Linked DNA regions of Oryctolagus cuniculus. The protein of the gene in region 3 interacts with the protein of the main gene of each other region in a pairwise test. Links are inferred from orthologs where the notes say so. Each region holds a gene or a part of one and is shown on either strand. Other genes may lie near its edges. The genes, in order: ZNF385C, MRPL11, THAP1, RBM10, BAG5, FAM133A and TCEA2.

Evidence for each region.
Region 1: the proteins of THAP1 (region 3) and ZNF385C interact in a two-hybrid assay, tested with the Homo sapiens proteins (3 studies listed by BioGRID). The two-hybrid records come from large-scale screens. The link is inferred for Oryctolagus cuniculus from reciprocal best matches to the Homo sapiens genes THAP1 and ZNF385C.
Region 2: the proteins of THAP1 (region 3) and MRPL11 interact in binary tests that used the Homo sapiens proteins (3 or more experiments, as listed by UniProt). The two-hybrid records come from large-scale screens. The link is inferred for Oryctolagus cuniculus from reciprocal best matches to the Homo sapiens genes THAP1 and MRPL11.
Region 4: the proteins of THAP1 (region 3) and RBM10 interact in binary tests that used the Homo sapiens proteins (3 or more experiments, as listed by UniProt). The two-hybrid records come from large-scale screens. The link is inferred for Oryctolagus cuniculus from reciprocal best matches to the Homo sapiens genes THAP1 and RBM10.
Region 5: the proteins of THAP1 (region 3) and BAG5 interact in binary tests that used the Homo sapiens proteins (3 or more experiments, as listed by UniProt). The two-hybrid records come from large-scale screens. The link is inferred for Oryctolagus cuniculus from reciprocal best matches to the Homo sapiens genes THAP1 and BAG5.
Region 6: the proteins of THAP1 (region 3) and FAM133A interact in binary tests that used the Homo sapiens proteins (3 or more experiments, as listed by UniProt). The two-hybrid records come from large-scale screens. The link is inferred for Oryctolagus cuniculus from reciprocal best matches to the Homo sapiens genes THAP1 and FAM133A.
Region 7: the proteins of THAP1 (region 3) and TCEA2 interact in binary tests that used the Homo sapiens proteins (3 or more experiments, as listed by UniProt). The two-hybrid records come from large-scale screens. The link is inferred for Oryctolagus cuniculus from reciprocal best matches to the Homo sapiens genes THAP1 and TCEA2.

Annotation. Positions count from the first base shown.
Region 1 is NC_091448.1:20,724,716-20,728,215, forward strand, and holds part of ZNF385C (zinc finger protein 385C), read left to right. Parts: coding exon of another isoform or gene 1-342; exon of another isoform or gene 343-844; intron 845-1,500; coding exon 1,501-1,649; intron 1,650-3,500. Other genes in the region: C17H17orf113 (uncharacterized protein C17orf113 homolog), read left to right, coding at 1-342.
Region 2 is NC_091432.1:5,444,218-5,448,181, reverse strand, and holds MRPL11 (large ribosomal subunit protein uL11m), read right to left. Parts: upstream 2,801-3,964; 5' UTR 2,709-2,800; coding exon 2,586-2,708; intron 2,369-2,585; coding exon 2,179-2,368; intron 2,108-2,178; coding exon 1,948-2,107; intron 636-1,947; coding exon 530-635; 3' UTR 367-529; downstream 1-366.
Region 3 is NC_091433.1:92,919,832-92,923,913, forward strand, and holds the start of THAP1 (THAP domain-containing protein 1), read right to left. Parts: upstream 2,801-4,082; 5' UTR 2,525-2,800; coding exon 2,454-2,524; intron 2,302-2,453; exon of another isoform or gene 2,148-2,301; coding exon of another isoform or gene 2,146-2,147; intron 1-2,145. UniProt on the Homo sapiens protein: DNA-binding transcription regulator that regulates endothelial cell proliferation and G1/S cell-cycle progression.
Region 4 is NC_091453.1:32,690,546-32,694,692, forward strand, and holds the start of RBM10 (RNA-binding protein 10), read left to right. Parts: upstream 1-1,347; 5' UTR 1,348-1,411; coding exon 1,412-1,481; intron 1,482-3,099; coding exon 3,100-3,241; intron 3,242-4,147. Other genes in the region: NDUFB11 (NADH dehydrogenase [ubiquinone] 1 beta subcomplex subunit 11, mitochondrial), read right to left, coding at 456-662. UniProt on the Homo sapiens protein: Binds to ssRNA containing the consensus sequence 5'-AGGUAA-3'. May be involved in post-transcriptional processing, most probably in mRNA splicing. Binds to RNA homopolymers, with a preference for poly(G) and poly(U) and little for poly(A).
Region 5 is NC_091451.1:46,388,092-46,392,119, forward strand, and holds the start of BAG5 (BAG family molecular chaperone regulator 5), read right to left. Parts: upstream 2,801-4,028; 5' UTR 2,665-2,800; intron 2,600-2,664; coding exon of another isoform or gene 2,477-2,599; exon of another isoform or gene 2,408-2,476; intron 2,376-2,407; exon of another isoform or gene 2,099-2,375; intron 1,806-2,098; exon of another isoform or gene 1,664-1,805; intron 1,384-1,663; 5' UTR 1,359-1,383; coding exon 15-1,358; 3' UTR 1-14. UniProt on the Homo sapiens protein: Co-chaperone for HSP/HSP70 proteins. It functions as a nucleotide-exchange factor promoting the release of ADP from HSP70, thereby activating HSP70-mediated protein refolding.
Region 6 is NC_091453.1:56,414,792-56,418,788, forward strand, and holds the start of FAM133A (protein FAM133A), read right to left. Parts: upstream 2,801-3,997; 5' UTR 2,683-2,800; intron 2,278-2,682; 5' UTR 2,209-2,277; intron 1-2,208. Other genes in the region: NAP1L3 (nucleosome assembly protein 1-like 3), read left to right, coding at 3,665-3,997.
Region 7 is NC_091442.1:143,420-147,510, forward strand, and holds the start of TCEA2 (transcription elongation factor A protein 2), read right to left. Parts: upstream 2,801-4,091; 5' UTR 2,673-2,800; coding exon 2,601-2,672; intron 1,205-2,600; coding exon 1,142-1,204; intron 937-1,141; coding exon 831-936; intron 239-830; coding exon 148-238; intron 1-147. UniProt on the Homo sapiens protein: Necessary for efficient RNA polymerase II transcription elongation past template-encoded arresting sites.

The DNA.
Region 1 (3,500 bases), on a different chromosome or scaffold from region 3:
CTCTTCAAGCGCGTGGTGTTCGGCCTGGGGCGGCTCAGCCCGCGCGCCCTGTGCGCCAGGCTGGCGTGCGCGCACTCGGAGCTGCACGAGCTCTTCCCCGACTTTGCCGCCCTGGCCGCCCTGGCCCTGGCGTTGCCCGCGGGAGCCGGCCTCTTGGACAAGGTGGGCCGCAGCCGGGAGCTGCGGTGGTGGGGACAGAGCGGGGCAGGGGAAGGCCGCGGCGGCCACGTTGTGAAGATCGCTGTGGATGGGCCGCCGCTGCAGGACTTTGACTTCGCGCTGGCTGTGGAGTTCTTAGAAAGTGGCTGGGGGGAGGGGCTCCTGGGGCCGCAGCCCTCCTGAGTGTGGCCTCCACCCCCCGCCCTGGACCAGCCTCCCGGGGTCTCTGGGCACTCCCAAGAGCAGAGCCAGACTTGACCGTGCCTCACCTCAGCTGACGGCTAACTGTGCCCCCTTCCCAGGGGTCCTGAGACACCTTCCCGGTCTAGAGCAAGTGGGGAGACGCTAGGGCTCCCTAAACCCTTCCCATCCTTTCCCCTTCTGAACTGGGCTGGTTCTGGTCCTAAAACGTGGAGGGGGAGTAGAGGGGGCTCTTAGTTAGGTCTTGGGGGACTGAGGCGCTGTGGGAAATGAGAATGAGCCCTCGACTCTTGGCCCACTCCTGGCTGCACCCCCTCTGCGCCCCAGCTCATGGAACCAAGGAGGTAGTGGGGCCCCCTCCCTTCTCCACCTGCTTGGGGGGGCTTTTCTCTATCTGACCGTACATGTTGACATAAAAATCTATCAGTGTGAACCCATCTGTCCCGTTGTCCATAGTATGAACACAAAATCAAAACGGACTGGATTGAGTTCTCATTTTCTTTGTTTTCAAAATCGGCTTGCTCTTCAAGTTCCCAGCCCTCCCCCTGCTGCTGCCTGGGACCCTTAAGACCAAAGACTGCAGAAGCACGGTGTGGTGCCCTGCTGCCCCTGCACGCCTGGCCTGCGGTCACTTGTCCTTCATAAGGGAAGCATCTGGGGCCTGACCTGAGCCTTGGTTCTTGTCCTCCAGCCTCCCAGGGGTTGCTCATCTCCTCCTGTGCCCAGAAGGGTGCGGGATCTGGAAGGCGGGACTAGATAGTGAGGGGGAAGGGGCTGGCCTTTGCACAAGCCCCCTGAGTGGGTTTAATTTACAATAAAGCAGAAACCCAGTGCATGGCACCATCTCCATGGTGGTGTGTACCTCAGGGGCCAACCTGACTCCTGCCCCTCCTGCCCTGGACTCTCCCAGGGGGTTTCATTTGGCCACTGTGTAGCCTTTGCTTCTCCAACTCTGGGGAAGCAGAGCCCAGCAGTGGGGGCTGCCGTCGCCCTGGGCTCAGCTGCCGTGACTGTAAAGAGAGAGACGAGTTTCTGCTCTGGTTCTGCACCCAGGCAGCCCGTCTGGCTCTCGTGCTGGCTGTAGAGGTAGGAGAGAGCCCTGTGGCTCCCCAGTTCAGACCTGCCTTCTTCCTTCTGCAGCAGGCCCGGCCTCCAGCGCCCCCAGCCCCCTTCTGGGCTCCCTGCCCCTGCCCACGCGGCCTCTGCAGCCCCCGCTGGACCTCAAGCACTTGCTCGCCTTCCACTTCAATGGCGCCGCCCCGCTCAGTCTCTTCCCCAACTTCAGCACGGTACGGGCTGCGCTGGCGGTGGGGCGGGTGGGGACGGTGGGCTCAGAGTGGCCAGCTCGGCAGCTGCATCCAGCCATCATCCCCCGCGGTGACTGGGGGCTTCCCAAATGAGGACCCGTGGGCCTGGCTCTCTCCTAGACTGGGGAACAGGATGGAGTCACTCCCTCTCCACCCCCACCTTCATCACTGCTGGGCCTCCAGGGTTTGCCGAGTACAGACGTCACTTGAGTGTGTGTACAGGGACTTCTGGGTCAGTCATGTGTGCCTTTCTGTTGTACTTCATGTAGCTCCTTGGTGTCATGTGTGGATGTGTGTGTGTGTGTGTGCGCATGCGTGTGCATGTGCGTGAGTGCCTGGCGGATCATTGTGTCGTTAATGGGAGTGCCTTCATATGTGCAGGGTTCTTTTTTTTTTTTAATTGAAAGGCAGAGTTAGAGGCAGACAGATCTTCCATCTGCTGGCTCACTCTCCAATGGCCACAACAGCCGGAGCTGGGCTGATCAGGAGCCAGGAGTTTCTTCTGGGTCTCCCATGCAGGCGCAGGGCCCAAGCACTTGGACCATCTTCCACTGCTTCCCAGGTCATCGGCAGGGAGCTGGATCGGAAGTGGAGCAGCCGGGTCTCAAGCCGGCACCCATCTAGGATACCAGTGCTGCAGGCAGCGGCTTTACCTGCTGTTCCACAGTGCTGCCCTCCCCCAGGGGTTCTTCTGTCTGTGGCTTCTGTAGCTGTGTTTGGTGTGTGCTTGTGTGGTTTGAGTGACTGAGTTCATCTATGGTCACGTGTCTCCTGGTGGTCTGTAACTTTGTGACGGCTGTTAGCTCCTGTGCCATGTGTCCATCCGTTTCACGTGTGGGTGACAAGTGTTGCAACTTGGAATTTTCCTCCGCCAAGTGAAGTATAAGGAAACCCCCCTCCACAGACAAGCCCCTCCCATCTGGATAAGACAGCAACCAATTCTCTCTGGGGCAGGAACCCCTTCCAGCACCCGCTCCGGGAGGCGCACAGAGGCCCTAGGGAGTCTGGGACATGTGGGGAGGGTCCTCTGCCCGTCCTTGTTCTGGGGCAAGGTCTCTCGAGGGCCGCTGAGACCGCTGCCATCCTAGTTGCTGGGCTGTGCCCCCCTGCGCTGCTGTCCCCTAAAAGTCTGGAGCCCCGAGTCCTGGGAGGTCAGCGCCTGTTTCTGTTCTCAGGGAAGTTCTGCACCCAGGCCCTTCTCTCTCCCCTGGGAAGGTCTGGGAAGTTCCTCTTGACAGGTTCAAATTCTTGCCCCTGAGAAAAGGGAACCTAAGGGCTTGGTCTGATCGAAGAAAAAAAATTACTTACAATGCTGGGAGAAAGAACCCCACTCAAGCGAATGTTCCAGAGAAACAGTGCTGCCACTTGGAGGACCCTCAGGCCACCCCTCGCTGCCCCTGGCCAGGGCTCTCGCTGCCAGGCTGCAGGCCCTGCACCAGTGGCACAGCTGACAGGACAGGCTTCTCCTCCCAGCCCCCAGCGCCGGGCACCAAGGCTGGGTTACAGGAGTGAAGGGTTCTTTGTCCCTCCCTGCCTCCTTCCCTTGCCCAACTCCCATCCTGATGGTTTGATGCTTGCAAAGGAGAAAAATAAAACAGAGACTAGAGGGGCAGCAAGAGATGCCCAGGTGTCCAGCAGGACAGGATTCTATTTCTCGAAAGCATGTGGGTTGCCCTGGCCATCCCCCTGCCAGCATCCAGTGCTGGCCAGGGAGAGGCTGTCTCGTCTCTGTGAGGAGCAGGTGCAGGGCGGGGAAGTTTCCCGGAGGGGCTGCCCCTCTGCCCTCCTCGGTACTCTGCACTTTTGGCCTTTTGTACTGCTGCCCGCCGCCAC
Region 2 (3,964 bases), on a different chromosome or scaffold from region 3:
CTCACGGGACAGGCGGGCACACAGGAGGGAGTCGGCCACCATCAGGCAAGGCTGCCCCACACGCTCGGCCCCTTCCCCCTGCCCATGACTCCCTTTGCTGCTTCTCTGCCACAGGTGACGCTCGGGGGCCTCACTGGACGCCAGCGCCATGCTGTTGGACCCTCCACTTACCCGGATCGTGTGCCAAATAACCTTTTCTCTCGGTGGTGTTTAGTCCCAGGGATTTTGTTACAGGAACAGAAAATGAGCTAAGGCGTGGGCCAAACCACTCTGCCGGCTGAGCCTCGGTTTGTGTCCCAGGAGCCGCGTGAAGACCCCTGCCCACCCCAGGGCTGCCTCCCTGGGTCCCAAGACAGAGGCTGAGAATGGTGACAGAGACATTTATTCAGGCCTGACGCAGCCATGAGCGTAGAAATACATAATCCAGTCAGGAGAGTCACAATGAGGGTGGCGCGGTCGCCCTTCCTCCCCCTCGGCACAGGCCCCGCCCCAGCCGTTTGCCTCAGAACTGTGGGTGTGCGAGGCCGGGTCACTTCTTGGCGGCCTCTGCCTGGGCTGCCAAATCCGCCTCCTTCTGGGCAGCCAGGAACGCGGCTCGCTCCTTCTGGAAGGCCGCCAGCTCCTCGGCACTGAGGCTGCAGGTGGAGAGAGACAGACGGACGGACAGACGGATGGAGAGATGGACAGACGGACAGACAGACAGATAGACAGAGACGCACAGACAGGCAGACGGACGGACGGACAGATAGACGGGCAGGCAGGCAGACGGACGGACAGAGACGGACGGACAGGCAGGCAGGCAGACAGAAACGCACAGACGGACAGACAGACAGATAGATGGGCAGGCAGGCAGACAGACGGGTGGACGGATAGACAGAGACGCACAGACAGGCAGACGGACGGATGGACAGATAGACGGGCAGGCAGGCAGACAGATGGACAGATAGAGACGCACAGACAGGCAGACGGACGGACGGAGACGGATGGACAGGCAGGCAGGCAGACAGATGGACAGACGGATGGGCAGGCAGGCAGACGGACGGACAGAGACAGACAGGCAGACGGATGAATGGACAGGCAGGCAGATGGACGGACAGAAGGTGGACAGGCAGACAGACGGGTGGACGGGTGGTGAGCAGCTGCCACCCGGTTCTCGGGGCCCGTGTCCCCGTGTCAGAGTCCAGCTGCTCGGCCCCCAGCTTCCGCACTCCCTCGGCCAGAAAAGCCGCCCGCGGCCTTTTATCCTCTCACTAAATCGCTACCCAGCCGGGCTCCAGTCCAGTTTAGCCGGCCTCGCCCTGTGCCCCAGGAAGCCGGGGGGGCTGTGCCTGTGTCTCCCCCAGAGGACCGGGCTTACTCATCCCTGCGTCCCAGCAAAAGCTAAGACGTGAGCAAGGCCCGGTCCCCCTCTGCCCCAGGCTGCGCCCGCGCTTCCGGGAAGCGACCGTGAGCCGCGGGTGGGGCCTGACTCGGCGGCAGAGGACACGCAGGGCTCCTACTCCCCGGCCCGCCCCCGCCTGGGCCCGACACCCCCAACTCCCTGAGCTCACCTGAAGCCGAGGAGCAGGCCTCCCTCCTGTCGGCCTCGGGTCCACACCCTCCCACCCTGCCCGGGGGCTCTGCACCCAGGCCCCCCGCCCTTCCCGACTCCACGGAGATCTCCGTCCTTGGACCGTCTGCCCCAGCCCTCGGTCTCTTCCCGGCTTCTGCTCAGATGTAGCCCCTCCCCTCACGGACACTCCACGCCCAGCCAGCAACCCTCCTGGCTGCTCTGGTGACCCCGGCCCCAACACGCACCCGTGGGTCCGCGCGGCCGCCACACGGACGTGGGCCAAGCAGCGCTGCCCCCGCCTAAGCCGCGTCCCACATCCAGGACGACACCTAACACGCAACAGGTGCACCGCCCCCCCCCCCCCCCAGAACCCGAGAGGCCCCCTCCGCACTCACTCTTTGACCACGCGGATGCCCAGTGACCGCGCAGAGCCGATGATGGAGCGGACGACGGAGGACAGCGGGACGTCCAGCAGGGCGAAGGCGTCGTCCTTGGCTTTCACCAGCGCGATCTCATACACGTGCTTCAGGGTCACCAGGCCCGCCACCTCCTGCCCTGGGAGCAAGGGGCACGCGCGCTCAGGCGCTGGCCGCCGGCTCCTCCCGGGCGCCCGCCCCGGCCCTCACCTGGCCGCCGCGCTCCCTTCTCGATGCCCGCGGCCGCCTTCAGGAAGTAGGACACGGTGGGCTGGCCGATCTTGATTTCAAACGTCCTGTCGGGCTTCACCAGGATCTTCGTGGGCAGGGGGATGCCTTCTTTGATGTCCTTGGTCTTCTCGTTGAACTCCTTGCAGAACTGGTTGATGGAGACGCCTCGCTGCGGGAGCAACACGGCGGTCAGCGGGGCCGGCCGCGCCCACGCGGCCCCTCTCCTCCACCCACACTCGACTCCCGCTCTCTGCGCCACAGACTTCTTTGTGTGTCCCCCCCACGGCCTGCTGCGGAGGCCAACACGCGGGCTGGAAGCGTGCACGCGGCTCCGCGACCATCCCGGCCCTCCGGCGCCCCGCGCCGGGCTCCGGCCAGGAGCGCACCTGACCCAAGATAGGGCCCAGGGGGGGCCCGGACATGGCCTGGCCGGCCCGCACGATGGTCCGGATCACGCCGCCGGCCTCGGGCTTCCTGAGGCTTCGAGAGACCCGGCTTAGTTTCGACATGCCGCCGGCCGTCTGGCTGTGGTTCACCTCAGCGAGAGCTACGCCCTGGGCGCCGCCATCTTGGGCCAGAGGTCAAGGGGCCTCACGAGGGGCTAGGGCAGGGGAGGCCAACAAGCATCAGCCTGTTTCAGTCTTAACGGGTAAGGCCGGGAGAGTAAGAGAAAGGGAAAAAAAAGAACCTCCCCACTGGCCTGCTGCAGAGAGGGGGAAGGACCCGAGCGGCTTCGCTACGCGCATTCTTTCAGGAGCGCATACAGGCACTGCCTCGGACAGCTAAGCACGACGGCGGGCCCTCGGTGCCGCAAGGCATTGTGGGTGCGGTAGTTTTAAGGCCCCTCGTGCACGTCAGGCGACCTGGTGCGCTGGAGCGCCGTCTGCTGGACATCGTGATAACCGCACCTGTTGCTCAGAGCGGGCGTCCGTACTAAATCCTTGTTTCTCATCTAGTTGGGGTCGGGGCTGCGGCGTAGCCGGTAAAGCCGCCGCCTGCAGTGCCGGCATCCCGTATGAGGGCCGGTTCGAGTCCCGGCTGCTCCACTTCCGGTCCAGCTCTCTGCTATGGACTTGGGCCCTGCACCCACGTGGGAGACCCAGCTCCGGCCATTGCGGCCGCTTGGGGAGCTAACCAGCAGATGGAAGACCTCTCTCTCTCTGTGACTCTGCCTTTCAATAAGTAAAATGAATCTTAAAAAGAAAGTGCCTCTCTCATAAATTAATTAATTCATGGTGGCCGGGGGGAGCAGGCTGGGTCTGATCCATCTCTGTGTGCCTGACCTTCATTCACAAGTTTATTTACTAATAAAGAAACAAATCCTTCCTGGGTGAAGCCATCAGGTAGCTGACCGGCACAATCAGGGAGCCCAGGGCGAGCCGGCGGCTGGCAAACTCCACCTGGGGTCAGTGGAGGCACAGCTGGGATGATTCTGATTACCGGGAGGGACCCCTGGAAATGCCTCAAGGTCGCGTGTGAGGTTCAGAGGCAGTGGAGGCGAGGGGGCGGGACCAGGGGTTGGGGGCCAGGTCTTGCAGCCCTGGGTGGGGGAGGAAGCCCTCGAAGGGTGCTGGGCATGCATTTGCATCATATTTGCATTTTGAAAAGGTCACCCTAGCTTGGAGGAGGCAGGCAGAGGGCTGGGCCAGGTGGTGGTGGCGTGGCCGGGAAGCGATACTTAGAAGGTTGGCTGGAAGACGTGTCCAGCAGATCCTCGCCTATCTTCGTGAACAGAACCCGTTTCACGGACGGTGAACCCGGAGCA
Region 3 (4,082 bases):
CTTGGGCCCCTGAACCAGCGTGGGAGACCTGGAAGAAGTTCCTGGCTTTGGATCAGCTCAGCTCTGGCTGTTGTGGCCATCTGGGGAGTGAACCAGCAGACTGGACTGGAAGACTCTCTGGTTCTACCTCTCTCTGTAACTCTTTCAAATAAATTTCTTAAAAAAAAAAAAAAAAGAAAGAAAAATGTCTGCTGCAAAAGGCCTCTGAAGTACCAACTCTTGCAGCAAGTGCTTGTAAAAAACTCAGTATGCAGGACCTCTTCTCCCAAGGACTACACATTCTCAGGTGTCTGTGAGGTTTTGGCAGGCTCTTTCCCATCTACGCTCCTGAAACCTGCTCCTTTAGAAAGCAGTGAGATGAGGCTAGCCCTTCTTTGGAGTCAGTGAGCAGAAACACAGCGTTCCTGGTGTGCGAATGTCATGCTGAGCTAGTTTCCAGTGCCTGTGAAGCGCCTGCCTTGGATTTTAGATTTGCTCTGCCACCCGTTTCGAAGGGGGCCAGGGAGATGGGGAGCTGAATGCAGAGGACGCTGTTACCATCCGCTGATGTAGCCTCTGGGAGTCCTTCACTTCTCAGGCATTCTAACAGACCCAGCAGTTATACTAAGACGTATGGAGCCGAATCCTGGGTTCCAGACCCTTCTCCAAGAAGAACAGCAATTCCGGAGGTCTCCATGCTCTACCCACTCTTATTTCTCCAGGGTTCATCTCACATTACATCAAACACGTTAAACACACAAGGCCGGTGCTGTGGTGTAGTGGGTTACACTACTGCCTGTGAGGCCAGCATCCCATATGGGTGCCGCTTTGAGTCCTGGCTGCTCCACTTCCAATCCAGCTCCCTGCTAATGCGCCTGGGAAAGCAGCAGAGGATGGTGCCTGCCACCCACATGGGAGACCTGACCGAGGTCCAGGCTCCTGGCTTCTCTGGCCAGAAGTCTTCCCTGTCACCTGCCTTTTAAATAAACAAATGTTTTAAAATATAACAATGCCCCAACACTTAACATTTTGCTTGGTAATTATTCATCTATGAGTAATTCATATAATTTACCACTGGATCCATGGGTAATGACATTTGTAAACAATCAGGCTGAATGAAAATGCCATTGTATCTCCTTTTGCTGAGCATCTGGTATCCTTAGGTAATCCAATGCTGCAGTTTTGTGTGTTTTTTTGTTTTTTATAGATTTATTTGTTTATTTGAAAGAGTTACATAGAAAGAGGAAGCAGAGGCGCAGAGAGAGAGAGAGAGAGAGAGAGAGTGTGTGTGTGTGTGTGTGTGTCTTCCAACCGTTGGTTCACTCCCCAGTTGGCTGCAACGACCGGAGCTGCAGTGGAAGCCAGGAGCCAGGAGCTTCCTCCAGGTCTCCCACGTGGGTGCAGGGGCCCAAGCACTTGGGCCATCTCCCACTGCTTTCCCAGGCCATGGCAGAGAGCTGGACTGGAAGCGGAGCCCATATGGGATGCCGGCACTGCAGGCAGCGGCTTTACGCCACAACCCAACCTCTCAGCTTTTTATTTTCAAAAGTCTATTTCCCCTACCCCCAGCTGTAGCAGTGGAGCCACAGGACCAGCGGGGTAAAACAGCCCTGAGTTTATGGCCTCCACCATACTAGGAGCTCAGGGAGAGCAGGTCTTCTCTCGGCACACCCACAAGCTGTCTCAATCTTTGGGATCCTTAAGGTTGGGGCGTAGGTTTGCGAGAAAAAACACCTCCCTGATATCCTGGCCAAAATAAACTCTGAATTTCTCCCTTCCTAAAAGAGCAGCTTCTCCCGGCTGCTCCACTTCCCACCCAGCTGCCTGCCGGTGCACCCAGGAAGGCAGCCCAGGATGGCCCAGGTCCTTGGGCCCCTGCCACTCACATGGGTGACCGTGGGGAGCTCCTGGCTTTGGCAGCCATTTGGGGAGTGAACGAGGGAATGAGGGACCTCTCCCTCCCTCTCCGTGGCTTTCAAATAAACAAATCTTTATATATATATGTGTGTATATATGTATATATAGATATTATATATATATGTATATATGTATATATAGATATTATATACATATATACATATATATACATATATACATATCTATATGTATATATAGATATTATATACATATATACATATATATATACACACACACACCTATACATACATACAGAACAGGGTTGGGGGAGGGCACGGGGAAGGCCTTCGCTCCTATCCCATTCAGCCTTCGGCGGCCGCCACCATCCGCCCTCCGCAGGCGCGGAACTCGCTAAGCCCACGTCCGGACGCGCGAGGAACCGCCGCTCGGCCGGGAACGCCCCCGGCTCCCGGCCCGAGACCCCCGCCCCGCCCTCGCCCCCGCCCCTCTCGTGAGGTCTCGCGCGGACACGCGCCCGGCTCCGCCCCGCGCCCAACCGGCCGCGCGCCCCCCACCCCGGCTGGGGCCGGCCCCGCGATGCGCGCAGGGGGACTTACTTGTGGAAAGACACGGGCTTGTCCTTGTCGTACCGGTTCTTGCAGCCGTAAGCGGAACACGACTGCACCATCCTTCCGGTCTCTGTCCCTTCACTTCTGCCGCCCCTGAAGGCAGGCGGAGCTGCTCCCGATGTCGCAGCTCTCGGTGTGGACGCCTTCTCCTCCTGTAGCTTTGGTCAACGGTTACAGAGAAGACGGTTTCACTCGGGGAGGGGTGGTGGTGACTACCGCGCCCGTTGTGGAGTTTGCATTAGCAGAAGGGCCACAGCCATCGCCCCTCTCCCATCTCCAAGATGGCGGAGGCAGCTTCAAACTCACCTCTCGCGAGGAGTTCTTCCACCGTCTCCGAGTAGCCTCTGAGGTCAGAGGTAACGTTTTTCTAGGAAGCAGGCCATTGGCTGAGGCCGAGCGTTTCCTGCGTCGTGGGGCGGGGCGGTGGCTAGGCGTTGCGGAAGGAGGCGGGGCTTCAGAACTTGGGTCTAGGCCGGGACTGCTAGGGGAAGGCGAAGCTCCCAGGGCCAGCCCTGCGCCGCGGGTGGTGCTCCCCGGAGTTCTGTACCCCGAGTTTTCCCCGGGCAGCCTTGAGTGGGAAACATACAGCGTGTGGGGTCAGCTGTCAAGCTGAGCCAGCCCGCTCTCCCAGGTCGCCGATTGGATTCCGGTGACATCTCAGCTGCCGAGACGGTAGCGCGCAGTGTCCCACCGCACAGAGGCGTTGCCTCTTTATCCCCTGCCCCCTGCAGATCCGGCGAGCGGACTGCTGATTGCATGGTTCGGACGCTCTGCTTTTTTCTGCCCCCTGAAACGTGGGCGTTTCCGGAACTCTAGACAGCTTGCTAGTGATTCCCAGGTCGTCTGTTAACTGCCTGCATCTGTCCTGCTTCCCGTATTACCTGCGAGTCGTTTGTCCCACGGCTGTCTATACCAGAGTCGTCTTCAAACGCCTTGATGACACCACGTTAATTTTATAGAATCCGTACACGCCTCTTAAGTCCATTCCTTTTTCATCTTTAACTCCTGTTCTTTTGAGTCCTTTATTTTTAAAGTATTTTGTTTGAGAGGGAGATAAGTGATCTTTCATCTGCTGGTTCACTTCCGAGAAGCCAGGAGCTTCTTCCGGGTCTCTCTCGTGGGTGCAGGGACCCAAGGACTTGGGCCATCCTCCACTGCTTTCCAGGCCACAGCAGAGAGCGGGATCGGAAATGGAGCAGCCGGGACTCGAACCGGCGGCCATATGGGATGCCGGCACTGCAGTGGCGGCTTTGCCCACTGTGCCGCAGCGTCGGCTCTTAGCTCCTGTTCTTGATCAGACCCTCACCGTGGGTGCAACCCCCTGACTTTGCCATCTGCAGTCCTCATGGAAGCCGACACTCCCCTGTGCTTCATCAGTTTATTCGTGTTTTGAACAAAATCCCGATGTCTTAAGGTCAGCCACAAAGCCCTCTAGGACCAGGCGCCTCTGCTTTTCCAGCGTCTCCTGCTTAAGCTCTGCTGCAGCTGTAGGTCTTTAATAGGCAGGCTCTCCGGTGCCTCCCACAAGAAGCCTGTTTTCCTGGGCTTCGCGTGCTCCTGACCTCCTCAACCGAGGCAACTCTCTTGTTCCAGTGAAGCCTTGCACTCGTTTCTGTG
Region 4 (4,147 bases), on a different chromosome or scaffold from region 3:
CTGCTAATCCAGTTATTTGAGCTTGGGCAAGCCGTGTATCTCTGTGTTTCTATTTCCTCATCTGTAGAATGGGTGTTAATCAAAAGTGCCTACCTCAAGATTGGGTGGTTTTGAGGATTAGATGAGTTAATGTATCTAAAGTGCTTAGACATAGACTGGCACCGGGCAAGCACCACCTCGGGGCTTTTAGTATTAGCATGGTTACCCTACTATATTGCTTCCAGAGTGTTTACGGCATTTCTGACTTTAGGTTTGCAAAATAAGGCCAACCCTGCCTCTGGCCCCGGACCGTAGGTATCAGGGGACAAAGGAAGAAAATAAGTAACCAAAATTCCCACGTCTTTAAGGATTTCGCCAGCTGCGCAATCCGCAGCTGCCTCAGAACGTCCTCTGCGGCGCCCCGTCCGCCAGTCCCCAATTGGCCCTTTCGGCGTTCCGTCCTCCCTCCCTCTCACCTTCTCATAGAGGTTGTCGTCCTCGGGATCTGGGTCCTCCTGCCAGCGTATGGTCGGTTCTGCAGGCCGCTTTCCCGCCACAGCGGACGGGGCGACCACAGCCCTGGAGGAGCTGGATTGCCAGCGAGCGCGGACAGCCGGGAGCGCTCGCGTAGCCGCTGCGGCCCAAAAGCGGCGAGCGCACAAACCTAACATCCCGGCCGCCATGACGAAGAGTGCGGCAGGGTCTCAGGGGCGGAACGGAAATGCGACTGTGCGCAGCTGCAGTTGGTCCGAGCGCGATAATTGTCGCTCCACCCCGCCACACTAAATAGGTCCCAGGTCCGATTTTGTTTGCAAGTGAGGCGGGGCGTCGAGGAAGAGCCCCCTTACCCTCCTGTTGTCATGGCCTCTTGAGAAATTTGCTATTGCTAGGTCTGCACATAACTTGATAGGAAGGAAACAGTGACATTTGGGTGGCCACGGCTTCCAGCCAATCGCCCAGAGAGTTCCCTTGCCCTTTAGGGAAAGAGGTGGAGCTTCCGCCTGCCTTTCATCTTCAAAGGAAGCCAAGCTTCTAAAAAGCGGGCCTCGCTGGATTGGCCAATAGCGACTTTTTCTCGACTTGTGGGGCGTTCTCACGGGGAGTGGGGAGGTGGCCTACGCGTGCCAATCAGAGGCGGCCAGGGCTGGCCGACGGCGAGCGGCGACCAATAGAAGAGGCCGGCCAGAGCGCGCTCCCTTAGTAGGTGGATGGTGGTCGGAGCGCCGGCTGCCTTCTTGTCGTCGCCATTTTGTGCTGCTGATTGCGGCCGGCTGGGAGTAGGCGGCCGTGAGTTTCCCTGGGAGGGCAGCGCACTTGGCGCTTCTCCCTTCTCCTGCCCCTCCTTTCTGCCTCCAGCTTTGGACTTGATTGTTGCGCGCTCCGGCTCCGACTGAGCTGGGAGACTTGGAGGAGGTGGCGGCGGGCCGAGGTGATGCCTGGGAGCCCTCCCTTGACAGCCCGGGCCGAGAAGGTGAGCGTCGACGCTGGTCGTGGGGGCGGAGGTAAGGGGTCCCGGGCGGGGGGTTGCACAGATGAGGCATTGAGGGCGGACTGCGGGCTCGGGGCACGCGTGGATCGCAGGGATGCGTGCACGGTCAGAATCCGGGAGGGGGTGTCTTCCCCCCCCTCCTTGTGAAATCTAGGGCGCGTGCGCGATTGGGACACGGGATGGGTGCACGCGGGCTGGGGGAAGGGAGGGACGGATGGGAGTGGGTTACTGTAGCTGTGTTTGCTTGCAGAACTTTATGCAGGTGTCTGCGACTTGGGTGTTTATCCATAGGGGAAGAGGTGTGCTGGCTGCTCTCTGTGATACTTTGGCACTTACCGATCCATGGGGAAGTGCTCGGCGGCTCTGGTCCTTATTCATGGGGCGGGCACTGAGGGGAAAATGTGCAACTCTGGCCTTTATCCTTGGCGGGGCGAGGGGCGACTCTGGTCCTTATCCGTGGGGGGGGGGGGCTACCCTGTGACGGGCCCTTACTCATTGGATGGGAGAGGGGTGCAGAAAGCGTGTGTGTGTGGTGGTGGGGGGGGGGAGAGACTTACCTCCCGTTCTTTTGAGGAGTTCATACCATTGAAACGGGGCTCTGTGTGTGATTAAGGCCCTCGCAGTGGGGTCTGGCTGTGATTTTGGCCAGTATCTGTTGTGGATGCCAGAGTCTGTTGAGGATTTCCCATCTGCCTTGCAATCGCCGGGGCCCCTGGTTGTGATTCTGACTTTACCCATTGGGAGCAGGTAACTCTGGTTCCCTGTGGTTTGGGGAGGAAAAGAAGATTGGTGTGTGTACATGGAGGAAAGGTGTGGTGGCGACGACCTCGTGTTGAGCAGGTGCTGTTACCCGCCTGGCTTCACCCGATTCCTGTTGAGAGGGAGGAGCCTGGAGATTGTGGGATACATTCCGACCCCTGCCTATGTTGTCACATAGTTATCAGGAGTCTTAGACCTTGCACAATCCCAAGGGTTGTATGAAGTGACTGCTCCAGCCCAGTAGAAAGGGCCTCCTTTTGCTTCTGGAACACTTGGGCTCAGAGCCCTAGGGAGCCAGCCACCTTGGGACCCGGCTGCACATCAGAGACAGGGCTGGGGGCTGAGCCAGTTGCCGTGCAAGAGCCAGGAGCCCAGGGAGGTAGCAGTTGTCCTGTTGCCGAGGTAGTCCCCTTCACACACACCTCCAGAGCCTTTCAGGGTGTCTTGCTGCCTCGCAGGGGGCAGCCAACATCTTGTTGGGAGAACGAAATGGTACCTTGGGGCTCATGGACAGAGCCCAGTGCCTGCCCGGATCTCCCACTATTGTAAAGTTTTGCCTCTGTGCCTAGACTTGAACATGTCTACCATGCTCAGATGGCAAAACCCTGGCCACACAATGACTGGCCCCACCAGGTCTCTCTGCAAGATGTCTCCTGTCTGATGAAGGCCTTGTCTTCCAGGGCTGTGGGCTCCAGTTTTGTGTTTGTGGGTAAAGGAAGGAGCAGCCCAAGTTGGGGCTGCCTTCTTGTAGCCTGATCCACACAAGCACTGGGCGTTGAAAAACAATATCCGTGGGCTACGGGACAGTAGAGAGCCTTGATAATGAGGGTTTCTCACTGCCTTGACCCCTTTCTTCCCTCTACTCTCCCCAGAATCCCTGCAGGAGGCATCACCCAGGCTGGCAGATCATGGTGGCAGCAGCGGGGGTGGCTGGGAAGTGAAACGGAGCCAGCGGCAGAGGAGGGGCCCCAGCAGCCCCCGCAGGTCCTATCAGGACATGGAGTATGAAAGACGGTGAGTTTTCTGCCCCCCCCCCCCCTTCCGAGGAGCCTCGGCTTGTCCCGGTGTGAGGATCCATCCAGGAAGGTGTGTCAGTAGGGGCCTTCCAAGCGGAGGATACAGTACAACAGGTGATTGGTTTCTTTTCAGCCGACGTGTGTTTGGCACCTGTTGTGAGACAGGATCTGTGCTAGGCTGTGAGAGTGCACTGATGAATGAGACAAATAAGAACGGCATCCCCTGTGCTCAGGATGTCACAAGGGGTGCCACACAGTTCATAACGGTTACAAAACAACTTGATGGGTAGTGTAGTTGGAGGTAAGGGCGGGAAGGGATCAAAAGAAAGGAGAGAATTGAGGCTGATGCCAGGTTTGCAGCTTGCGTGACCCGGATAGGTGTGTGGCACCATTCACCAAGGTGAAGGCAGACTCTGCAGGGGGAGGGGGAGGAGAAGAGGCAGGAGGTCAGGTCTGTAGACTTGGGTTTGAGGAATGGATGGGAATGCTGCCTTGAGTTAGGAATTTGGTCAGGCAAGCCAGGTCAGATAATGGGAGACTCCAGGGACAGAGGGGGCTGCACTGGGCATGATATTTTTCTTGAAATGGATACATTCACATGGTTATTTTTGTCAGCTGTGGTATGTGCAAGAAACAGTTGGAATGCTGGGTAAAATCCAGAAATCCTGGGTAAAATTCCGTAGTCCTTTGCTATCCTGGTGGGTCACCCCAGGTAATTGTGAGGCAGGTGATACACCCATGATATTTTAAGATTGCCTGAGAAACCAGATCTAACTCTCTCAGAAAGCCTCTATTAAGAATCAACGGATTTATAAAAGGGGTGAGGAGAATTGAAAGATAAAGCTTAAAATATTTTCAAAGGATTTCTTCTACCATTAGCCCTCTTAAAAATGGAAAACAATAT
Region 5 (4,028 bases), on a different chromosome or scaffold from region 3:
GTGCCCACTCGCGGTCAGTACTCCCACTCGTCCGACTTGAGGTCCAGGTAGCTGAGGATGTTTTGCGCCAGCTTCACGGCCTGCTTGCGCGCGGCCTTGCACTTCTCCTCGCCCTGCGGGTCGACCGCGTCCAGGGCCAGCAGCTGCTTGGTGAGCAGCTCCTCCAGCCGGATGTAGTTCTTGTCGCTGCGATTGCCGTCGAAGGACAGGACCTCCCCCTGGATCTCCGACAGGTTCCCCAGGACGCTCCAGACGGCCTGGTGGGACGGGTGCTCGGCGCCCACGCTCTGCTTCCTCTTCTCCAGCGCCTCCTTCAGGTCCACGTAGGTGACCAGCGTCTGCACCTCGATCACCGCCCGTCTGCGCGCCTCCCGGATGCAGGGGTTCTTCTCCAGGCTCACCTCGTCCAGCTGCCCGATGAGGCCCTGCAGCTCCGTCTTGGAGCTCAGGTACAGCTCGGCCGGGCTCTGCGCGCGCAGAAGCTCGGCCCTGACCTCCCGCGTCCTGGCGCGCACCTTCTCTATCTCGAGGATGGACTGGTTCTGGCCCAGGTCGAAGGCGCGGGTCGTGTCCGCCTCCTCCTCCAGCTCCAGGTACTTGAGCAGCTTGTGGATGTCCTCCACCACCTCCCTCCGGTAGTTCCTGATGTCCGGGTGCCCGGCCACGTCCAGCGCGTCCAGGTCGGCCAGCAGCCCCGAGAGCACGCAGGACAGGTGCCGGCAGGTCTCGTCGGCGCACACGCCCATCAGCAGCGCGACCACCGTGCCGCGGGCCTTGCTCACCGTGCACATCACGGCGTTGATCCTGGCGACGCACGGGTGCGCGTCCTCGGACAGCGGCAGCGACGGCTGCTTCCGCAGGCAGTCCTCCAGGATCTCCTGCACGGCGCACACCCTGCTCAGCGCGCGGTAGCGGGCTTTGCGCAGCGAGACCTTGCCGCCGGTCTTGACGTGCGTCAGCCGCAGCACGATGTCCTGCAGGCGCTCCTCCACCTCGTCCGCGGCGCAGCCTCCCCCGCTGTGCAAGGGCGCGATCTCGTCCTGCGCCAGCGCCTGCGCCTCGCGGAACAGGTTCCGGATCTCCAGGCGGCGCGGGTGGCTGGCGTTCTGCTCCAGCTCCTTGAGCAGCCGCTCCGTCTCCTGCGCCGCCCGCTTCCGCGCCTGCTGGACGTCCCCCCTGCCCTCGGTGTCCACGGAGTCGATCTCGAACAGCTGCCGCGTGAGCATGCGCTCCAGCCTCCGGTAGGCCTTGTCGTCCGCCAGCCCGCTGAAGCCCAGCACCTGCGGCTCCACGGCCTTCACCTCCCGCTGGATCTCCTGCAGCCTGCTGATGGCCGGGTGCTGGTTTCCCATGTCCATGCTCCGCTGCCTGGGCTCACGAGCGCTGCGGGGCGACAAGAGAGCTCATTCAGAGCGGCCGCCGGCAGGTCCGCGGACCCCGGCCGGCAGGCCCAGGGCCAGCCCGAGGGGCCGCCCGGCCCGCGGCACAGAACAGCCCGCAGGGCACGCCCGGGCCAGCAGAATGCGGGACAGGCCCCGCGACGGGGCCCCAAGCTCCGCCGGGGCTCCCCGCCCGGGACAGCGCCCACTCTGCCTGCACTGCCTCCCACGAGGGCCCGCGGGCGCCGCCGCGGGCCCGGGCCTCCCTCCCTCTCGCACTTTACCCGGCGGAGGTCCCGGCTCCCCGGAGGCGCGGCGGCGAGGTGGAAGATCAGCCCTTCACCGGGTGCGGCGGCGGGGCCGGGCCCCTAACGGCATCCCCTTCAGCCCCCCGGCTCGGTCTGGACGGGGCGGCCGGTGAAGGGGCCGGCGGCGGCGGCAGCTACTGGCCGCAGCGGCCGCTCCGGGCGTCTCGGCCCCGGGCCCCCGGCTCGCCGCCGGCCCTGACCTCACAATGGGCGCGCGGGGGAGGCCGAGGCCCGGGCGCCCCGCGAGGACGGGCGGGAGGGGCGCGGAGCGGGGCCCAGCCCGGCGGGGAACCCGGCCAGGCGCGGCCGCGTGGGAGCCCGTGGGGGGGAGCAGGGTGGCCCGGCGGAGCCCCGCGCCGGCGCGCGCGCGGAGAGAGCAGACGCGATCGCCGGCGCCCCCGCACCACTCACCCGCGCCATCACGCGCTCCGCTGCCGCCCACGACTTCCGCAGAGCCCGCGGCGCCCCCGTCCGGGGCCGACCACCCCCAAGCCCTGGGAAAAGACGGCTCCGCGCCCGCGCCTCACCTCGAGCCGCGCCCCGGGCCTCTGGGACGACAGGGATCGGGGAACTGTCGCCGGCGTTCGCCCGCGCTGCCCGGTCCCGGCAGGCCTCCTCCGCGCCGCCCCGTCCCCACAGACCCCCTCCGCGAGCCGTGTCACCGCGGGAAAAGCGCGCGGTCGGCCCCTCCGCGGCGCGCCCGCCGGCTTTGCGACCCTGCCGTAAGGCAGCCCCGCTCGCCGTCGCGAACGCCGCCGGGTGCCGCGGGAGCAAGGTGGGCGCGGCCCCATGGCGGCGGTGCGGCGGGCGCCGCGGACCCTCGTCCCGCCCCTCTGCCGGGCCTTCGCGGGCGGCGGCGGGCGGCGGGCCCCGGAGCGCGGTGCGGAGCGCAGGGAAGCAGCGCCGAGCGGGGTAAGCGCGCTGCCGGGGCTGCCGGGCCGCCCCCGGTCTGGCGCCCACCGCCGCGGTGCACGGACCTGGTGTTTGCCCGAGGGCGAGTTCCAGAAGCGCCCGGAGGGGCTCGGCGAGTGGCTGCGGCCGCGGCGTGCGGCCGGCCGTGCTTGTCCTCAGGCGCTGGCGGGCCGGGGCGGTGAGGCCGGCGCGGAGCCGGGCCGGGCAGTGGTTACGGAGCGAGGAGAGGGGCGGTGAGGCCGGCGCGGAGCCGGGCCGGGCAGTGGTTACGGAGCGACGAGAGGGGCGGTGAGGCCGGCGCGGAGCCGGGCCCGGCAGTGGTTACGGAGCGACGAGAGGGGCGGTGAGGCCGGCGCGGAGCCGGGCCCGGCAGTGGTTACGGAGCGACGAGAGGGAGCCCGCTGGCCGTTGCGACACTTTGGGCCTGCGGGTTTTCGTGCGGCCGCCGCCCCGACTTCCGCTCCCACGCGCGCACACCCACCAGGCTCGCGGGTGTCTGGGGAGGATTCAGCCTCTGAAAGGCGCTGGCGGGGGCAGCCGTGTAGCAACGAGAGGGTTGCGCGGGGTGCGGCGTTTCCGCGGCCGGTTTGGGCGCCGGTGCCAGCGCCGCAACAGGTCCCGCAGGCTGCTTGCTGGAGAACCGGACCCGCGCAGGGGCTGTGCGGGCCGTGTGGTCAGGTCCTGTGCGGGCCGTGTGGTCAGGGGCTGTGCGGGCTGTGTGGTCAGGTCCTGTGCGGGCCGTGTGGTCAGGGGCTGTGCAGGGCCGTGTGGTCCGGGGCCGTCTGGGACTGTGTGGTCCAGTGGCGTGCAGGGCCGTGTGGTCAGGGGCTGTGCGGGCCGTGTGGTCCGGTCTGTGCGGGCCGTGTGGTCAGGGGCTGTGTGGGGCTGTGTGGTCCGGTCTGTGCGGGCCGTGTGGTCAGGGGCTGTGCGGGGCTGTGTGGTCCGGTCTGTGCGGGCCGTGTGGTCAGGGGCTGTGCGGGGCTGTGTGGTCCGGTCTGTGCGGGCCGTGTGGTCAGGGGCTGTGCGGGCCCGTGTGGTCAGGGGCTGTGCGGGCCGTGTGGTCAGGGGCTGTGCGGGCCCGTGTGATCCAGTGGCGTGCAGGGCCGTGTGGTCCGGTGCTGTGCAGGGCCGTGTGGTCCAGGGCCGTCTGGGGCTGTGTGGTCCGGGGCCGTCTGGGGCTGTGTGGTCTGGTCCTGTGCGGGTCGTGTGGTCGTGTCCTGTGCGGGCCCGCGTGGTCCAGTGGCGTGCAGGGCCCGCGTGGTCCAGTGGCGTGCAGGGCCGTGTGGTCCAGGGCCGTCTGGGGCCGTGTGGTCCGGTGCTCTCCGGAAGAGGCAGGGCAGAGCCGGAGCCGCTTGGCCGCGTCCAGCATTGTGACCCCCGCCGTGTGCTCGGGGTCCGAGTGTCCGTGCTGCCGGGTGTTGGAGGGAGC
Region 6 (3,997 bases), on a different chromosome or scaffold from region 3:
AATCTTTCTAGCAGTTTGTGAGGTCATCCCACTCACTTCCTAAGACTGTTCTCCATCCCTTTCTTGCAAACTCTTGCCAGTGCCTGAATGATAATTCTTGACAAACAGGAGATGAACTTAACTGCCCCCTTGAAGTTTAAGCTAGAAAAACACACACCCTTTCGGGGCACATTTTCAAGGCTACTTGAATTTTTTGTCTCCCAGACTGTAATGGTCATAAATGTAATTACATAAATGTAATTATTAGTTATCTATGACTAATTTGATTTTGTCTTGGTTGATAGCAGCCATGGTTGCCTTATCATGGTCAAAGTCATTGTACCTTTAGAATTTCACCGCCTTTTAATTTCTAATTCAGTGGAAAACAATCAAACAACATGAATAGATAATATTCAGTGAACAATAAACATGAAAAAACATTCAGTCTTACTACTAATATAAGAAATACAAATACATAATATTGAAAAATGTATTTGGCGTTGTTCATCTAAAAATGTGAATGGCAATCACTTCTTCATGTATTTATAGTTATTTTTAATTATTCCTTTGTAGTTCTTAGTAGTTAACTATTCTATCTAGCTTTTTTAATGATATCATGTTAATATATACATTTTTAATGTATCATTTCCACAAAATAAAAGCTTATTTTTAAACTACCTAATTAGTTTTGTGCGTAAAAATTCTGACCTATGGAACAAAAAGGAGAGAATTAAGAAATGGACCCAGGCAAATCAGTTAATATGATTAATTTGGAATTTCAAATAAGTATGGAGTATACATATTCTCAAATAAATGATACTCAAAGAATTAGCTGACAAAAATGAACTTCAAAAATCTGGATCTTTAACATCACTAACTCCTAAATACCAACTCCCAATAGTACAACATCTAACATGCATATAAAATCATTAAAATACTGTAATCTGGATTCCTATCTTATCACTAACTCTAAGACTAATCTTTGATGGTACAAAGTTTAACATATATAAAAAAGCCATCAACATAAGAGAATTTGTTTAAAGATATCCATCACTTTACGTGAAAATAATAAGCTGCAGAATAATATTTATGGTAAAACCCATTGATTTAAATGACTGTTCTATAGAAAATGCTTTCATTAAAATTGTGAAATGAAAACATATGCATCCAGTTAAGTTTTACTCACTATTATACTGGCATCCACTACAACGAGTGCCTGGTACGTGACAAGCACAAAAATATATTAGTTGAATGATTAAATGAGCTCTTATGCACTATTGGTGGGACTGTAAATGGTTATAATCTTTCTAGAGAGAGTTTATCAGTCCGTATGAAATGCTAAAATGAACACACAATTTAATTTAGTCCAGCACCCCTGCTTAGTAATCTATCTTATTACAAATTTTCATAAGTGCACCTGCTCTGGTTGCCTAGGAGCAATATTTTTTACAAGTAAAAAAGTATTGATATAAGTGGAGAGATAGTGTGGAAAGAGTTACCATACAACAGGAATTAGATGAAATAAATTAAGACAACTATTTCCATGGAATATGCCTCTATTTAAAAATTAGATGTTGATCATTTTCCATGAACCGTATAGTCATAATTAAATGATAAATGAATGAGCAGGTTACAAAACATACTAAAATGTCACATAGACAAAATTATATACATATATATGCAGGTGTTTATAAATATGCACAAGAAATCTCTAGAAGGAATTGCACCCAAAATGCTAGCAACAGTTATCATTCTGTTGTTAAGATTGTGTTTTTCCAATCATTGGAATTTTTCTCTACTGGGGTTTTATCTTTACAATGTTCATATACTTTTACAATCAGCGCTAAGGAGTAAAAGTAAATGCATTTACAAAATTTAAAAGCATTCCCTAACTTTAAAAAAAATGTGTAACTAAATGTCAAAGCACAAATTCTATAAAAATGTAATATAAAATTATCTCACTTTAACATAGTTTCATTCAAAATGAATAATTCATCACATTTTATGTCTTGTTACTTGTATTCTATGACCAAGTTTATATAGTGAATGTGGTTAAGTAGTTGTTTTGTACATTAGTATGCCAAATCACTTCTGTGAATTTTTCTGTTCCCATAGAAATATCAAGATATCATCCAATTAAATCTCTAAAATACTATCCTGTGAATTTTTACTCAAATACAAATGGGTTATCCCTGTCATTCATAAAAATGGGCTAAATGCATTCCTTACCTTTCAGTGAAAAGTAAACACTGGTCTTTTGGGTTTACCAAGGGAGTTGTTCTGTAGCAGAAAAGAATCCTGTAAATAAAAACAACACATATCTATCTTTAAACTTCATTTTGCGAAAGTTTGTTCACATATTACTGGACTTGTAAGTCATACTTTAATATGGCTGGAATTTTACAATACTAGAAGGAAACTGGTGGCAGATTACATTTTATATGCTGACAGAGGATGCACTTTCATTAGCACAAATTCCCCCTCCCCCCCATCCTGCTGTTCCTGGAATTGAAACCTGCTGCACAAAAGTATAAAACAAACAGTCTTCTTTTTAATATTAGCAATATTGAATACCCCTTTTTTATTTACAAGGTTATTGCAAGCCTTGAGAAGGGCTATGTGGCGCGTTAGCAACAAGGTTGGGGTATATTATATGCCAGCTTAGAAAATAGAAATAAAATAAAAATGGTGTAACTGACTCACGGCAACATGGGTTCGCAAACCTTGTAGATGGATACAAACCAGGCTTGCCAAACATCACAGACAGCACTTATTAAATCTGCTACGTGGAATGCAATATGCCTGCTGTCTAGCCCCTCCCCCGTCCCAATAAACGACTGCCCCTTTTTCTCCCAGTGTAAAAGTAGATGCTCACAGAGCAGAGGAATAACGCTTTTCCTAAGAAAGAAATCATCCATAGTCACACTACCCATTGACTCCATTTAGAAAATTTTCATCCAATTTTTTCAAAACGTTTTTTTTTTTTTTTTTGTCAAGAGGCCCGTGACAAACCAAGCGGGAATTCAGGATGGGCGGATAGAAGGAAGACACTCCTCTTCTTATGTGGTTAAAAAACTATGGCTTGTATTTTTTTTTTAACCTCGTGTCTGCGCTTTTTGTGAATTATAAAATCACAAAGATAAATTTTGGGAGGGGGGGCTTCCAAGGGTTCGAGTCTCACCCACCAAAGAGCGTCTGGGAAGATGGGCGGAGCCTTGGTGTATGTGTTGCGGGGGGAACCGTTGCGTTTGGCCTTTCGTTGGACATATCGTTTGTCAATCAAGGTTGTCCAGCAAATAAGGAGCCAACTAAAGGCACGCTGGGTAGGAAATTAACGGGCAGTCTAAGTGTGAAGGGGAGGGGGCTCGCGATCCCAAGCGAGAAGAGATCTCGGGGTCTCATACTGCGCCATTCGACTGCGGCACGCTTAGGTCGGCCGTGGCTGCTGCCTGGAGAGGCCTTGCCGCCGCCACTCTCGTCCAGGCCGCCAGTGCCTCTGCCGTCTCGCCTCCGCCGCCGCCGCCGCCGGAGCCTCGGTCCCAGCCCCATCCCGCCGTGCGCTGCTGCTGCTGCCTTCCCCGCGGCCGCCGCCGCTGCCGCAAGCATCCGTGAGTCATTTTCTGCCCATCTCTGGGCGCGCGCTCTCTGCGGTAGTCACCACTTAAGAGGTTTACAGGCTTTCCATATGGCTGAAGCGGATCTTAAAATGGTCTTGGAACCTGTCGCCGAGGGGGTTGCTGAAGAGGAGATGGCTAGCTCGGCTAGTGATTCTGGGGCAGAATCTGAGAGCAGTTCTAGCAGCAGGTGCAGCAGCAACAGCAGCAGCAGCAGCAACAGCAGCAGTTGCAGCAGCCGCAGCCGCTTATATAAAAAGAGGAGGTTTCCCGAGCCTTCCAGAGGGGTTCAGCGGGCTCCACTGCGTAGAAATTTCGTGGATAGGCTACCTCAGGCAGTTAGAAATCGTGTGCAGGCACTCAGAAATATTCAAGATGAATGTGACAAGGTAGATGCCCTGTTC
Region 7 (4,091 bases), on a different chromosome or scaffold from region 3:
GACAGGCCCCAGGGTAGGCAGGCAGGGGAAGACCCAGAGCAGCTCACTGACCGCAAGGCACACCCAGCCAGGTGGGACTGGGCTGACCAACGCTTCCCCTGACCACCGCCCAGGGTCACAGCGGCACCTGCTCCCCAGGTGCTCTACCTGGGATCCGTGGCCTCGGAGGCGGCCTTGGAGGACGAGGCAGGCAGAGGCGCACCCCTCCCCCGGTCCCTGGCTCTGGCATCTGAAGCGTCTGCAGTTTCCGGAGAAGAGGCAGTGAGTGAAGGGGACAGAGGACTCCAGCAAAGCAGAGCCCTGGCCACCGCCTTCGGCCACGGTCCCGGTCCCTGCCCCAGCCAGGAGGCCACCACCCCAATACCCTTTCTTGCCTAGGGGGGGTCTCTTTGGGTCCACCCTCCAGCACAGAGCAGGCTCCTCCTGAACCCCACGCCTTGGGAGGCCTGCACTGGGGACAGCCCACATGTGTGTCGCATGTGTCCATTGGCCACACAGGTCACGTGGCTGCCTCACAGAGGTAAGTGCCCAGGACAGCCTAGGAAGGCTCCCCCTCCCAGGGCCCAGAGGCATGGCTGCTTTCCTGTCCCAGTGGCACAGCCCACTCGTACCAGTGCCCCCACCCTGGGCCACCTCCTGCCCCCCTGGCCCTGGGCACCTCAGCTTTGCCCGGCCCAGCAGGTTCTGGGGGCCCCAGCCTCCTGCAGCACCTCCAAGGCAGGCCCCGGTCCAGTTCCAGCTCCAGGCAGCACTGTGCCTGACAAGCAGGAGGCCAGCACCCCCTGGGCACCCCTCCTCCAAGCACAGAGCCCTCACTGCCCGACCCACACCCAGCAGCTTCTTCCACGACTTGATGAGAGACTTGGCCAGCGCGATGACCTCTTCGTCTGAGCTCTGCTTTCTCAGGGCGTTGACCGACATCCCCACACGAGTGGCCTGTGAACAAGCCGCCTGGGTCGGGGGGTGGTGGGGAGCCCCCAGGGGGACTCTGACATCTCCCAGTAGAACCCACGAGGACAGGGTGGGATATCGAAACGTCTCATTGAGAGCCAGAGCCAGGAACAGGCCTGTGCCCATCAGTGTGCCCTTGGACACTGCTCTCCCAGGAGCTGCCCCAGGCCGGGGGCAGGCAAGGACCTACCTGGAGCAGGTGCAGTGTGACGGGCATGGCCTTGAGTTCCCTCAGCAGGTCTATGGCACCCTCCTGGAAGGAGAAAGGGGGGCTTCCTAGAGCTCAGTGGACAATCCCACCTCTTCCTGCCCATAGGCCATGCCTCAGTGCCTCCACCTGGAGACACCAGGGCTCCGCCCACCAGCCGGTGCACCCAGGATAAGGAGCCAAGTGGCTCTGCAGGCTCTGTCCCTATGGTCCCGTGACCTTCCGTCCAGCATCCACGCAACAACCTCACCGTAGCCATGTGGGGTCACTGAACAAACCACAGGAGCACAGACGCCAAGGGCCATGGCCAGGTAGGGGAGGGCTCAGGCTGTCACACACAGGGGCATCTCCCCTCGGGCACCGCTCCTCCAGGCTCCCCAGGTCCAGGACCCTGATGGGTGTGGGCCCCACCTCCCTGCAATGCCTTGTGCCCAGCCAAGCCTCTGTTCCTTAAAGGTGGGACTCGGGGGGGCCAGCTCCCCCGCCCCCACTGCTCCCTGCGGGCGCCATCCCTTCAGTGCGGTGTGTGTCTCTCCGACCAGAAGGGCGGGGGTGACCACGCAGATCCCTCTCCCAGGCAGGCCCCGCTCCTGCGCTGTGCCGAGTTCGGATCTCCCAGGGCCGCGTTCCCACCGGCACTGCACACGGGGAAGCTGGCTCTCCCAGGTCTCCGGACCCCAAAAGGGGCTCTCAGCTCTCAGGTGCTGGCCTCCCTCCCTGTCCTCCCAGGGAGCGAGTCCTGCCCAGCCGCTCCCCTCCCTGTTAGTCTCCCCCAGCCAGTCTAGCGCCCCTACTTTGCTGCAGGCCTGGGGGGGTGAGAAAACAATGGGGTGGGGGTGCTGCTTCCAGGATGACTGACAGTCGGGCCCGTTCCTGGAGAACCCCATCCACAAGAACCCGCCCCACCCCCACGCGGTCCCGGAGCCCATGACTCAGCCGTCTGGGGCCGCCCCGGGAGCTCGCAGCCCCGGGGACAGCACAGGTCCCGTGCACGGAGCCGGTCCGCGGGATGCTCGCCCCCTCCCCACCGCGGCGGTGCTGGGCGGTCGCCAGGGGTGCTGCGGGGAGTGAGGCCGTTCCAGGACCGGCCCGGCCGTGGGGTCCGGTCGAGGCGGCGGCATTTGCCGCAGGCGCCGGGCCCCTAGGGGCGAGGACTCGGCCCCGCAGCCCGTGAGTGGGGGCGAGGGCCGGGGGCGGGCCCAGCGTGCGGCGGGGGCTCCTGGGCCGGGGGTCGGGCCGGGCCTCGGGTCTGCGGGGCGCAGGGGGAGGGCGGGGCGGCCCGGGCGGGGGTCCCTGCCCCGGGCACGGGGGTCTCCCGGCGTCCCAGGGGTCTCTGCCGGGGCTCTCGTCCTTCCCCGTGGGGGCTCCCGGGCCTGACGCGGGGCGGCGGCCTCGGCGGGGTCTCGACGGGGCGGGGGTACCAGCGGCCCGCGCCCCTCACCGCGCTCTTCTTGGTCACCATCTTGTCCAGCCTGCGGGCGATCCGCGCGATCTCCTCCTCCTTGCCCGTCATCGCCTCGGGGCAGCGCCCCCGCGCCCGCCTCAGACCGACCCCGGCCGCCGCCTCCGCCGCCGCCGCCGCCGCGGGCCGACCCTCGGCTCAAACCCCCGGCCCCGCGGCCGCGCGCTGCACCCTGGGACGCGTAGTTCGCGCGCGCCCGCCCGGCCCCGCCCCCGCCGGCCCCGCCCCGCGCCCGAGTGTGCCGACCTCGCCCCCGCCGCAGGCCCCGTGGAGACCCCGACCCCGGCCCCGCCCCCGCACTCACGGCCCCGCCTGCTGGGAAGGGTCCTCTGGGAGCGGCGACCTCCTGCGGAGAATTCGGGCCCCGCAAACCGCCCTGAGCGAGGGCCGCGGGGCGGGGCGGGCTGGACGCGCCCCCTGGAGCCCCGCCCCCAGGAGCCCCGCCCCCCGAACGGCCCGGGCCCGTTAGGCCGCTCCGGGTCCCTTCACGGCCGGCTCCCCCTCCTCTGTCCTCGAGCATCCCCGACCCCGCCAACCCTGCCCCTCGGTCCGTGCGACCACGGCGCCGTCCCAGAACCCAGCCTGGGTCGTTAGGGCCTCTGCCCGGGGTTGGCTCCCGGAGCTGCCCGCCCACACTGGGGAGCCCCACAGCCGGCAGGAGGGTGGGTTCCTCTGGTCAGGCTGATGGGGAAGGGGTGCCAGAAGCTGACCCCTGTCCCTGTACCTGGCGGCTCCACGCCCCGACCCCTGACCTGTGCCTGGCAGGGCTGCTGTTGGGGTGAGGCAAGCTGACTCACTGACCCGGATAAGCGAGAGACTGGCTTTTGCCACAGCTGAAGTCCCCAGGAGGGGCCAGACCACACAACACAGAGGGTGGCCCAGGCCCAGGAGAGTTGAGGAGTGCCAAGGTGCGGGGCCAGGACCGGTGCCTGCCTGCCTCCTAGTGATGGGGTGCTGGCGGCTGCAGAGAGCGGGCCAGGGACTGCTGGGGGCAGCTGGGCACACCAGGCCTTAGGCGCTCAGCGGCACTGAAGGTGGCAGGTGCGGGACTCACCTTAACCACGAGGAAAAGCATGAATTCCTTGTGGCTGTTCCCAGGTTGTATGGTGGGCGGACACCACACCCCAGTCTCCCAGGCCAGCAGAAGCTGCCCTGCCCGTAGTCAGGGCGGGGGTGGGCGTCCAGCCACGTCAGGGCAGCAGGGAGGATGGAGCCACACATCCTTCAGCCACCCTGGACGGCTGATGAGTGACCACACCCAGGAGCTGGCTGGGTCTTGTGGGCCAGTACTGGGGCCGCCTCGGGACCCAGAAATCATGGCTTCAGAAATCGTCCAAGCCAGACCCTTGTCATCCAGGTGGTGCCAACCACGCAGGCTGCCCGGAGAGGCAGGCCTCAGGGAGAGGGGTGGGTTCCAGCTGACTCGAGGGCCCCTAGATGCCCCAGCCCTGCATCTGGCGCAGCTGCTGC